Linked DNA regions of Cricetulus griseus. The protein of the gene in region 1 purifies or fractionates together with the protein of each later gene. This does not show direct contact. Links are inferred from orthologs where the notes say so. Each region holds a gene or a part of one and is shown in the gene's direction. Other genes may lie near its edges.

Region 1 (3,649 bases):
TGCATTCATATTGGCTTACGCTGTATAGCTGAAAACCGGTCAGTGCTCAACTTTTTGTTTTTGGATTTTTGAGAAAGGGTCTCTTAGCCTGGGCTGGCCTTGAATTCCTGATCTTTTTACCTCCACCTCCCAAGTACTGAGATTAGTCCTTTGTTGCCACTCCGGACTTTGTTTTAGGGGAGGGTATGCTGGAAATTGAATCTAGAGCTTCATATATCTTAGGTAAACACTGATCCACTGGGCTACATCAGCCTTGTGCTTTCTTAAGAGTCAGGGTAAGCTGTTTTCTGTGCCCTGGGTTCTTGACTGTTAGGACACCTGGAAGGTTTTCTGCTAGAGTCTACCTCATTCAGAGTCTACCATTTATCCCAGAGCATCTTGAATGTAAGTTTGCTGATGCCTGTGGTTTTCTTGGCAGAATGCTTGCTGTTCTGTGTATGGACAGAAGGAACTGAAGGACTTCCTCCCCAGCCTTTGGGCTTCTATCCGCAGAGAGGTGAGTGTTAGGTTAACTCACTGCTGTTAACTGACGGATGTCAGACATGAGAAGTAATGTTCCTTCTTTGCCCTCTTCCCTATCTCCCCAGGGTCAAGGTGCTATGTTTCTTTTATTTCAGTGAACAGGCAAGTGGATAGATAGACTTCCACTTGAATGGCAAGGGAGACAGCTCCCTTGTGAGGGCTGCCTGCTTGGTGATAGTACAGACCACCTTTGCACAACACCTACTTCCTGCCTCTCGTGGCAAGGAGCCTAGGTCATTGTGTTTCTGGCACCATCTAAAAGTAAAGGTAGCGAAAAGGACTTAAAATAAGGTTACAATAACCTCAGTTCAGAGTTGGTAACTTGTTTCTACAAGATGTATGTGTCATTCCTATTGGGACAAAAACTTGTTGAACCAACGAAAAAGATACTAGGTTGGGAGTTTTAGCTATCATTGCTGTGCCCCAAACTTTCTCAAGCACATATCCTTCTGAGCCCAAGAAAAAAGGTAGTGGATGGGTGGGGCCTCATCTGGTACAAGCTCACCTTAGTAGCCATGGGATCCCTCCCTGACAGGTGTTCCAGACGGCAAGTGAGCGAGTAGAGGCAGAGGGCCTAGCAGCCCTCCACTCCCTGACTGCGTGTTTGTCTTGCTCTGTGCTGAGGGCTGATGCCGAGGACCTCCTTGACTCCTTCCTCAGCAACATTCTACAGGGTAATGGGACCATGGAGGCTGCCAGCAAAGGGAGTGAGCACCTTAGAGCTAGCATTCCTTTAGGGCCAGTGGCCCTTTATGGGTGGCTCCCATGTGTTCAGTGATTTGGGGGCTGCAGGCCTACTTTGTATTGAAGACAATTAGATGGTAACTGCTAGCAAATAATTCCAAGTGTCAGTCAGCAATCCCTATGGATAAAAGGGAATCAGGCAATATTTGACCTACTCTCCAGGTCTGTGATTGCTGCCTCTCTAGACTGCAGGCACCATCTGTGTGAACCAGACATGAAACTGGTATGGCCTAGTGCCAAGCTGTTGCAGGCTGCTGCAGGTGCATCTGCCCGGGCCTGTGAGCACATCACCAGCACTGTGCTTCCCTTGCTGCTGGAACAGTTCCACAAGCACAGTCAGGTAAGGGATCAGGTGGGACTTGGTGCTATGGTCCTTTTCTTGGAGAGATTGAAGCTCTAGTTTGGGCCCAGATAGATTTGGGGTTTTCTCCTGTTAGCAGCTGCTTTTCCACTTGTTCATTCTCACATACATAGTCTCAGTCTTACATAAAAAGTTAATTCTTAGAGTATCAGAACTGAAATCCGTTAAAATATTCTTTGACCCCAGTACTCCTTGAAATATTGCAGAGCAACCAACGGCGAACAATCCTTGAAATGATCCTGGGTTTCTTAAAGCTACAGCAGAAATGGAGCTATGAAGACAAAGGTGAGATCACTTTGAAGATGAGTTACCCTGGGCAATTGTTGAGTCCTATTGCCCAGGAGTACAGCAGCAGTGTGCCACAGAGTAGTCTAGGAGAGTGGACCTGTTCAGAGCGAGTTCTTAAAATCTGCCCTAAGTTGTCTGCAGCACTGTAGTCAGAGATGGGCTGTAAGCCCTTCTGACCTGGCCTCTGTCTCTTCTAGATGAAAGGCCTCTGACTCGCTTCAAGGACCAGCTGTGCTCATTGGTGTTCATGGCTCTGACAGACCCCAGCACCCAGCTTCAGCTTGTAGGCATCCGGACACTCACAGTTTTGGGTTCTCAGCCAGGTATGTCTTGAATGAGAAAAGATAAGGATAAGGATAAGTATTATCTGTCTGAAGTGAAGAGCAGTGATTTCCTCTTCATTGCAGTACTGGATGGTGTGAATTTCTGATAGGATTTCTTGGAAGGGTGGTGGCTACAAGGAAGGAAAGATGAAGTTTGTTCTTTCTAACTACAGATCTCCTATCTTCTGGGGACTTGGAGCTGGCTGTAGGTCACCTGTACCGACTGAGCTTCCTGGAGGAAGATTCTGAGAGTTGGTGAGAATCTAAAGCAGTGAAGAAGAGCAAATGTTTCCCTAGCTTTGTATCAGCAGCTGTAGCAAAGGCCAGAGTGTACACTGAGTGGTTGGGAAGATGTGGGCTACTCTCTCTTGTACCCAGCTGGGCAGTGGTGGTGCAGGCCTTTAATCCGAACACTTGGGAGACAGAGGCAGGCGGATCTCTGTGAGTTTGAGGCCAGCCTGATCTGCATAGTGCATTCCAGGACATCCAGGGCTACACAGAGAAACACTGTCTAGAAAAAAAATGATGATGATGATGACGACAACCTATCAAACTAAGTGCTATAGGACTTGGGTCTTGCTCTTCAGCAAAGTAGACACAAGAGCCCATTCTGATCTTACTGCTGTCAGGTCTTGGGAAGAGAATGATGGGCCAAAGCTCAACTAATACTCCTCTTTGTCCCCAGTAGGGTGGCAGCACTGGAGGCATCGGGAACTCTGACTACACTCTATCCTGGAGCCTTCAGCAGCCACCTGCTACCCAAGCTTGCTAAAGAGCTGCATAAAGGTACATGTGCCAATCTGTTGCCCAATCCTTTCCAGCAAGGAGGGCCTTCACACCATCACACAGTGAAAACTTAACTCACCAATTGCTTTCAGGGAAGTCGGATGTTGCTAGAGAGGATGGTCTCATGAAGTGTTCCCGGCATTTCTGCTGTCTGCAAGCTTTGTCAGCCATTTCAACACATCCCAGCATTGTCAGGGAGACACTGCCTCTGCTGCTGCAGCGGCTCTGTCAGGCAAACAAGGGTAACTACCAGTGATGTTTTCAAGGGGTTCGGGCTGAATGGATGGATCCCTGGGCTAGGAACTGTAAAGTTCTAATTGTAGTTGTTGTGCATGTACAGCAGTAACATGATAAGCTTTTTAAAAATCAGTACCTAGTAATTATAGTAATATTAATATAGTAACACCATAAGTAGATACATATTTATGGTTGTACAGTATGATGGTTTAATACAAATACACCTAAAGAAAGAAAGTGCATCTATCAGCTCACATATCTTCCTTTTTTGTGTCTTGGGTGTGTTCTGAATCATGTCTATTAGGTACTTTGTAGTATTCAAGAAACTGTTGTTATCAATAGTTACCGTATTGTCTCCTGGGCCTGGGGAGATGGCCTGGTCAGTAAA
Region 2 (3,649 bases), on another chromosome or scaffold:
AGAGGCAGGCAGACTCTGTGAGTTCGAGACCAGCCTGGTCTACAAGAGCTAGTTCCAGGATAGGCTCCAAAGCCACAGAGAAACCCTATCTCCAAAAAACAAAAAACAAAACAACAACAACAAAAAAGAAGAGCCTGCTTTCCCTTACCCAGAAAGAAAAGAAATAAAAGTAACACATGGAGTAACTCAGGTACATGCATATACGAGTCAAAGCTTGCCCAGTATAATTCCGGTCATCCAGCTCCTTCTGTCCTCTAACCCTTCAAGGAAACTGTTGTAAACTTCTGTGTGTATTTTGCCAGAAAGTTTAAAAACAGATATTATTTGCTAGAGTATATATGCATATTTATTCTTTAAGCAAGGACATTTTACACAAACTTAGTCATACTTTTACACATTTGGTGACTATTTTTCTCATCATAGCATCATTAGAGAACCTAACAAATAGCACACTCACTTAAAAGTGTATATCATTTGATTTGTTTTTTAAACAAAGTCTCATTATGTAGCTTTGGCTGGCCTGGAACTCGCTCTGTAGATCAGACTGGCCTCAAACTCTGAGATCTGCCTGCCTCTGCCTCCTGAGTGCTGGGATGAAAGGCAAATGCAACTGAACCTGCCCTTAAAAGGGTGTATCTTTTTAAAAATTACTTAACATGTCTGCTATTGGTCATAGAAATTGGGTTTAGTTATAGTTTTGGTTTTTTTTTTTTTTTTTTTTTTTTTTGCTATGAAACTGTCGTGTATCTAATTTTTGTCATCAGTGTACATTGATAATAAAAATCAGAACTTTGATGTTTTGGCAAATTGTATATTATTATTCAAAGCTTCTAGTATTTTTATTACTCAAGGCTTAAACTTTTGTTAATTTTTTTGTAATATGACTATTAGTTTCATGCGTTTTATTTATTCATTCTCTTATTTAATTAAATTATTGTTTTAATTGGGAATATTGCTATGGAGCTCAGTAGACCTTAAATTTATCCTCCAGCCTCAGTTTCCCATGTGCTTGGTTGGATTACTGGCACCTGCCACATGCTGAGCTAATTTTAGGCAACTTAGATTTTTTTTTTAATGTGTATGTATGTGATGAGCCTTCATGCACACACTACATGTGTGAAGGCCAGAAGAGGGCATCACATGCCCAGTACTGGAGTTAAGGTGGTTGTGAGTTGCCATGTGTGTGCTATGAACCAAACCCAGGTCTTTTGCAAGAGCAATAAGTACTCTTTATCACTGAGATGTCTCTCTTGCCCCCATTTTCATACAGTGAAAATTGATATATGACATATTCATACTCGGAGTGAGCTAACAAAATTTTATTTTTTTTATAAATTTTAATTTTTTATTGATACTTGTAATATATATTTTACTTCCAACAACATACTAGCAAAGACATTAATAGATAACATGAAGAAATAGAAATTACCAGGTGGTGGTGGCGCACGCCTTTAACTCCAGCACTTGGGAGACAGAGGCAGGCAGATCTCTGTGAGTTCGAGGCCAGCCTGGTTTACAAAGCTATACAGAGAAACCCTGACTCCGGAAAAAAAAAGAAAGGAAGGAATAAAGCAAGCAAGCAAGCAATAGAAATCACTGTGGTCCTTCTGGTGAATGTTCATACAAGGACTAGAGATTGTGACTCAGTGAGGTCCCAGACTCAGTATCCAGTACCACACACACAAGGGTGTTCATTCAAAGAAATGTTATACCTTGATAGACAGAAATTATAGAAAGTACAAATCAAAAGGTTTTGTTTTTCACATAGGCAAAGATGGGGACTGGGTAGTTGGCTCAGCTGAGGTGCTTGTCTTGCAGACATGAGGACAGTCTACATGCCTGGTATGAGGGAAACTAGTTCAGTCCTGTCACATTAACTCAGTATACAGATATGAACAACAGTGAAATGAAGTTTTCTTGATAGCAGTTTGTTTTTATCTTAATATTGGGCCATTTTATATAGATGTAACTTTTTGTACATGTATATAAGAAAAACATGAGATACATGAAGATGTCAATAGTATATGTTTTGATTAATATAATTTGGAATTTTGGGGGTACTCTTATATTTTATGATTTTTTTTTGTAGTTATCCCTCTTTATTTTTTCCCTCAAGATAGTCCTGCCTTATTTCTTTCTCCTCCCCTTCCATTTTCCCCTCCTCTCCCTTTCTTATTTCCTTCTTTCTAATATTGTCACATGGCTTAAATTTGAAAAGACAAGAGAATCAAGAGAAATTTCCCCTTATGCCTGTCACCTAATTCTAATCTAAAAGCAGCAGGAAATGCCATTGCTTTGTTCATCCTTCTAGAAATGCTTCATGGCTAATGGCACAGCTACATCAAACAATATAAATATGTTTTTCTTGTTTATTTTGTATTGGGAGTTCTTTCTCATTCTGAGTCAACTACTACAATTTCTTTGAATATAATGGTTTTGAATATAACTTGTAATTCCAGCTACTTGGGAGGGTGAAGCGGGGGATCACTTGAGCCCAAGAGTTCAAAGTCAATATGGGCAACATAGTGAGATTCCTGTGTCTTGGCAGGAAGATAGGTTGTGATTATAAATACAGAAGTATTTGTTTTCTCTATAAAGTATTAGCTTTTGGCTTTAGCGATCTTTTTACAGTTCTGAGATAATCTTAACTTTATTCCTTCTATTCCAGAATTGGCTCACATTTCAGTTTTGTCTGTTTTCAGGGTAAATCCTGCTATTTTTATCATGGTGTCCATAGAATTAATAATCAGCACACATTGCAGTCCTTTCCGGGAATGTCCAAAGCCTGGGACATAGAAGAGCTTGTCAGCCTCGGGAGGAAACTGAAGGCATGTCCCTACTACACAGCTCGGGAACTGATAGATGAGGCTGACATAATATTTTGTCCCTACAACTACCTCTTGGATGCACAAATACGGGAAAGTGTGAGTATATGTGAAAATTAGAACTTTCCCCTACTTATGGGATAAAAGTGATGAATGTAAAGGCTTTTAGATGTTTTATGCCTTTCCCCCTCTGTATTGAATTTATGTAGTGCACTGAAAACATGTTCTAAGGTGAATTAAGAAGTGACTTTTAAATCCAGTTATTCTAATTTCCAAAGTAATAAACAGTTAAGGCTCTAATGGACTGAAACGGAACTGTAGTGTGTTCCTTAGGCTTGACTTGAGTCTTCACATTAGTCTGGAGGAATCTTGGCTGTGATGGGATGTCTCTGCTTTGTGATGTTTAGAATCCTTACAGTTGTCACTGTCTGAGATACCTCTAGACATTGCCCAATGTCCAAATTACCCCCGTGGAACAAAATTGTCCCCATTGAAGACCATTATATAACTGTTGTTCTCTCCATTTATGAAGTTGAGAATTATTTAAAAACATTTCTCTGGGGGAAAAATAACTGTTTTTGAAGAAGTTATATTAAGAGGATAAGTACTATGAAAGTTGGGCTTTGTGAATTTTTTTTTTTTAAGATTTTATTTATTAAGTATACAGTCTCTGTCTGCATATGCCCTGCACGCCAACAGAGGGCACCAGATCTCATTCAAGGTGGTTGTGAGCCACCCCATGTGGTTGCTGGGAATTGAACTCAGGACCTCTGGAAGAGCAGTCAGTGCTCTTAACCTCTGAGCCATCTCTTCAGCCCGCTTTG
Region 3 (3,633 bases), on another chromosome or scaffold:
CAATCGTTTGCCTTCCCTCTACATGTGCATGGCCACACTTCCCTCGAGTCTGTGCTTTTTCCACTGCGACGTGTTCTTTCTTTCAAAGGCAGTGAGAGCTTATCTCCTCTGTTGCCACTGGCTGTCAGGGACAGAAGCAGGAGAGGTAATGTGTGACTGTGGTCATATGATGGCTAGTGGGCGTGAGTAACTGCTCGAGTCATGCCTGGCAGTCACTCTGCCTCACCTTTCGTTGAGGCCACTTCTGAGCTTGGCTTAGATGGAACTGACGCTTTCTATACCCTCTCTGTAGCATCTGACTCCAGACAAGATCTACCATGTGACAGTGATGCCCTGCTATGACAAAAAGCTAGAAGCATCTAGACCTGACTTCTTCAACCAGAAGTACCAGACCCGTGACGTGGACTGTGTCCTTACAACAGGTGCAGGCACTATGCATAACTCTACCCTCTGCTGTCTTTAGGGCTCCCCTAGAGCCAAGCACTAGAGTCCAGCAGATAGCCGGGCCTTCCCACAGTGCCTCCCAGGATCCTGTGACCAATGGAGCCCCTGTAATATATTCTTGCTGGTTTAAAAATGAGTCTTGAGGGCAAACAAGGTCTCAAGTCTAGTCCCTGTGGTTCATACCTTCACCCCACTTCTGAGTAGAGTAGCCTGTCCTACTGAAGAGTCAGGAAAATAAACTGTTTAGAAGACTAAACAGCCTGCCCCTGGACTGGCAGAGTGGCCCTGCCTTTACAATGCTCCAGGAAGGAACACCTTCCAGTAGGTCTGCAGAGGCTGGCTAGACTCAACCATCCCACCACAAATGGGAGTGAGTGTCCCTCTGGGGACAACACATACAGCTCAGCATTCTGAGGCCAGCTAGAGCATGTGATGTGTTCTCTGTAGGAGAAGTCTTTAGGATGCTGGAGGAAGAAGGAGTGTCACTCTTGGAGCTGGAGCCTGTGCCCCTGGATGGCTTGTGAGTTGGTGGTGGGGACTGAGAACCTTTATTTGGGATTAGATGCTGCCTGTGGGGTGGGGCAGTGTCTTGTCCCCTCCTTTCTACCCAGGCTGCCTTCTGGCTGACTCCAGACCTCCCCACAGCCTGGCTGGGGCCCAAGAGTGGCTGAGTTACAGTGTCAAAGCAGAGCCTGCTCTAGAAGCCATCTGAGCTTCCCAGGGCCACCATAAGAACAGTTCTTAAGGTCTGACTACAAGAGCTGTATTGAGCCCCAGCCTCCTGCACTGACCCGCCCCTCTCCCAGAACCTGTAGTGTGTCTGCTGAGGAGCCCACCAGCCATCGGGGTGGAGGCTCAGGAGGCTACCTGGAGCATGTGTTCCGGCACGCAGCCCAAGAGCTCTTTGGAATCCATGTGGCCGACGTTACCTACCAACCCATGAGGTTAGTGGGGCAAGCACTGAAGTGAACTTGGGGGAAAGACCCCTGGAACTCTTGGGTCCCCTCTTACAAGCATGAGGCATGAGCAAACAGGCCAGTGTACTGTCCTCAGTTTCAGCAGGGACCCTGAGCCAGGGCAACACACACAAGGACTAGCAGGTGCCTGGCATGGGTATAGCACCTGGGGCTGGGGTGTCACACTTTGCTGGGCTTCATGGCTGCCCTTGGGAAAAACAATCCTGTTAGCTAAGGAGGTCAAGGTTGGGGTGAGGTTACCTGGGCCCATGGATGCAAACTGTGTCCCCCTCTCCATCATCCCTGCCCTGCCTGCAATCGGAAAGGGACAGAGTCAGATGGTGGTGTGCTAAACCCCAGGAGGCGTCTGCACCTGGGCAGGGACAGGTTTGCATGCAATGTGCAGTTTCACGAGCCTATTTCTACGCTTTCAGGAACAAGGACTTCCAGGAAGTGACACTGGAGAGGGAAGGCCAGGTGCTGTTGCGCTTTGCTGTGGCCTATGGTTTCCGCAACATCCAGAACCTTGTGCAGAAGCTGAAGCGAGGTCGCTGTCCCTACCATTATGTGGAAGTCATGGCCTGCCCTTCAGGTAGTTCCTCCTAGTCTAGCACAGCAGCCTGCCACCAGTGGAAGGAGGAAGGGGTTGGACAGGAGGGGGGGGCAGGTCCCCTCCCCACACACACCCAAGGGTTAGAGGGCTAAACCCTGACTTCCCACCACCATGCCTGTGCTCTGCTACAGGCTGCTTGAATGGAGGGGGCCAGCTCAAGGCCCCAGATATGCAAGGCAGGGAGCTCCTCCAGCAAGTGGAAAAACTGTACAGCATGGTGAGGAATGAGGCACCCGAAGACGCACCTGGGGTCCAGGAGCTGTACCAGCACTGGCTGCAAGGTGAGGGCTCCGAGCAGGCCAGCCGCCTGTTGCACACACAATACCATGCCGTGGAGAAGACCAACTCGGGCATCAGCATCAGGTGGTAGGAGGCCTTGAGAGGCTGTGAGAGCCCCAGGGGCCAGCACCAACACTCCCAGGAAGACCATGTGTGTATCAGCAACGGATTCCACACAGAGAACACACTGGAGACCTTCAAAATTCAAGGAGAGCTACAAGGATGTGTTGGATTGTGTGCTAAAGTGGGGCACTAGCTGCATGTGGGTCCTTGGCAGTACATGACCTGCGTGCCTCTGGTTGGTAATGTTGCCATGGCCCATGCACCTCCAGATTCCACACTGAGCTCTGCAGGGTAGAAGTGCAAGCAGGGTCCGGGTAGCCAAGGGGGCCAAAGGTTCAATGAGGTTCCAGAATCTCTTCTACTGGCCTAGGGCCATGGGCATCTTCCCTGCCCAGCCCTCTGGGTTATGAGCACAGTTTCATTTCTGTGGCTAACTCCTGAAGCTAAAATGTATAGGGCAGGTATCAAGCCTGAGTCTAGTGGGGCACCTGATCCTCTTAAAAACTGGCTGCTTGCTGGGGCCTTGCCGTTTGGGCAGTCTGTCAGCACCAAGCCTGTATGGCTGTGAGAAGTCCATAGCTGAGTCTCACTGAGCTTGTCACTCACCCAGCCTCACCACTAATAAACAGGTCTGCACTTCTGGAAGCATCTGCTGCATGTCTGACACCACACTGAGCCTTTCAAAATTTTATTCATTCCCCTTCTCAGTCCCCAGGACACATATGTCTCAAGGTCCACAAGAGTGGTACCATGAGCAGTAGAGACAAGGACAGCACCGTTTGCTGGTTCTACAAAGCAGGGTGGAAGGCCTCAGAGGGATGTTCTGGGGGCCAGGGTTCCAGTCAGCCTGAAGTTCAGGCTGGAACTGAACTGAAGTCAGTTGCTGTCCGGAGAAGGGGTGTGAAGACAAGCAGGCTCATTTTTCCTGGGGCGTACTCAGAAGTCCCCACTGCAAGGCCAGGAGTGCCCGGACCTGGGGCTGCAGTGGCTCCAAAGCAAGTTGGAAGCGTGCTCGCTCCCTGCAGAGTACCTCCAGGACCTGGGCAGGTGCCACTTGGCCTGTGAACTCACGAACTGGATCCTCTCTACAGGGAAGAGTATGCTGGGGAATTGTGGGGCTGGCCAGCTGCCCATGAGGGTGGGGCCCAGCAGGGCAGTGGATGGAAGGAGGAGGGCCCTTAACAAATGCCCTTCCCTGGTGCCAGGGACATTCAGCTCAATAAATAATCCCTAGATACCCTCCTAACTACCCAAATGACTGCCAAAGAGGCCCCAAGG

What was found. The genes of interacting proteins can lie anywhere in the genome.
Region 2: the proteins of Mms19 (region 1) and Brip1 purify together in Homo sapiens (affinity purification with western blotting; 3 studies listed by BioGRID and IntAct, with this or other methods). This does not show direct contact. The link is inferred for Cricetulus griseus from reciprocal best matches to the Homo sapiens genes MMS19 and BRIP1.
Region 3: the proteins of Mms19 (region 1) and Ciao3 purify together in Homo sapiens (affinity purification with mass spectrometry; 3 studies listed by BioGRID and IntAct, with this or other methods). This does not show direct contact. The link is inferred for Cricetulus griseus from reciprocal best matches to the Homo sapiens genes MMS19 and CIAO3.

What each region holds. Positions count from the first base shown.
Region 1 is NC_048596.1:19,594,186-19,597,834, forward strand, and holds part of Mms19 (MMS19 nucleotide excision repair protein homolog), read left to right. Parts: intron 1-418; coding exon 419-496; intron 497-1,057; coding exon 1,058-1,196; intron 1,197-1,428; exon of another isoform or gene 1,429-1,451; coding exon 1,452-1,606; intron 1,607-1,833; coding exon 1,834-1,912; intron 1,913-2,112; coding exon 2,113-2,238; intron 2,239-2,411; coding exon 2,412-2,493; intron 2,494-2,923; coding exon 2,924-3,024; intron 3,025-3,116; coding exon 3,117-3,266; intron 3,267-3,649. UniProt on the Homo sapiens protein: Key component of the cytosolic iron-sulfur protein assembly (CIA) complex, a multiprotein complex that mediates the incorporation of iron-sulfur cluster into apoproteins specifically involved in DNA metabolism and genomic integrity.
Region 2 is NC_048600.1:99,407,052-99,410,700, reverse strand, and holds part of Brip1 (Fanconi anemia group J protein), read left to right. Parts: intron 1-2,702; coding exon 2,703-2,924; intron 2,925-3,649. UniProt on the Homo sapiens protein: DNA-dependent ATPase and 5'-3' DNA helicase required for the maintenance of chromosomal stability. Acts late in the Fanconi anemia pathway, after FANCD2 ubiquitination.
Region 3 is NC_048600.1:45,400,877-45,404,509, forward strand, and holds the end of Ciao3 (cytosolic iron-sulfur assembly component 3), read left to right. Parts: intron 1-292; coding exon 293-422; intron 423-891; coding exon 892-964; intron 965-1,250; coding exon 1,251-1,388; intron 1,389-1,834; coding exon 1,835-1,992; intron 1,993-2,144; coding exon 2,145-2,383; 3' UTR 2,384-3,000; downstream 3,001-3,633. Other genes in the region: Haghl (hydroxyacylglutathione hydrolase-like protein), read right to left, coding at 3,272-3,440.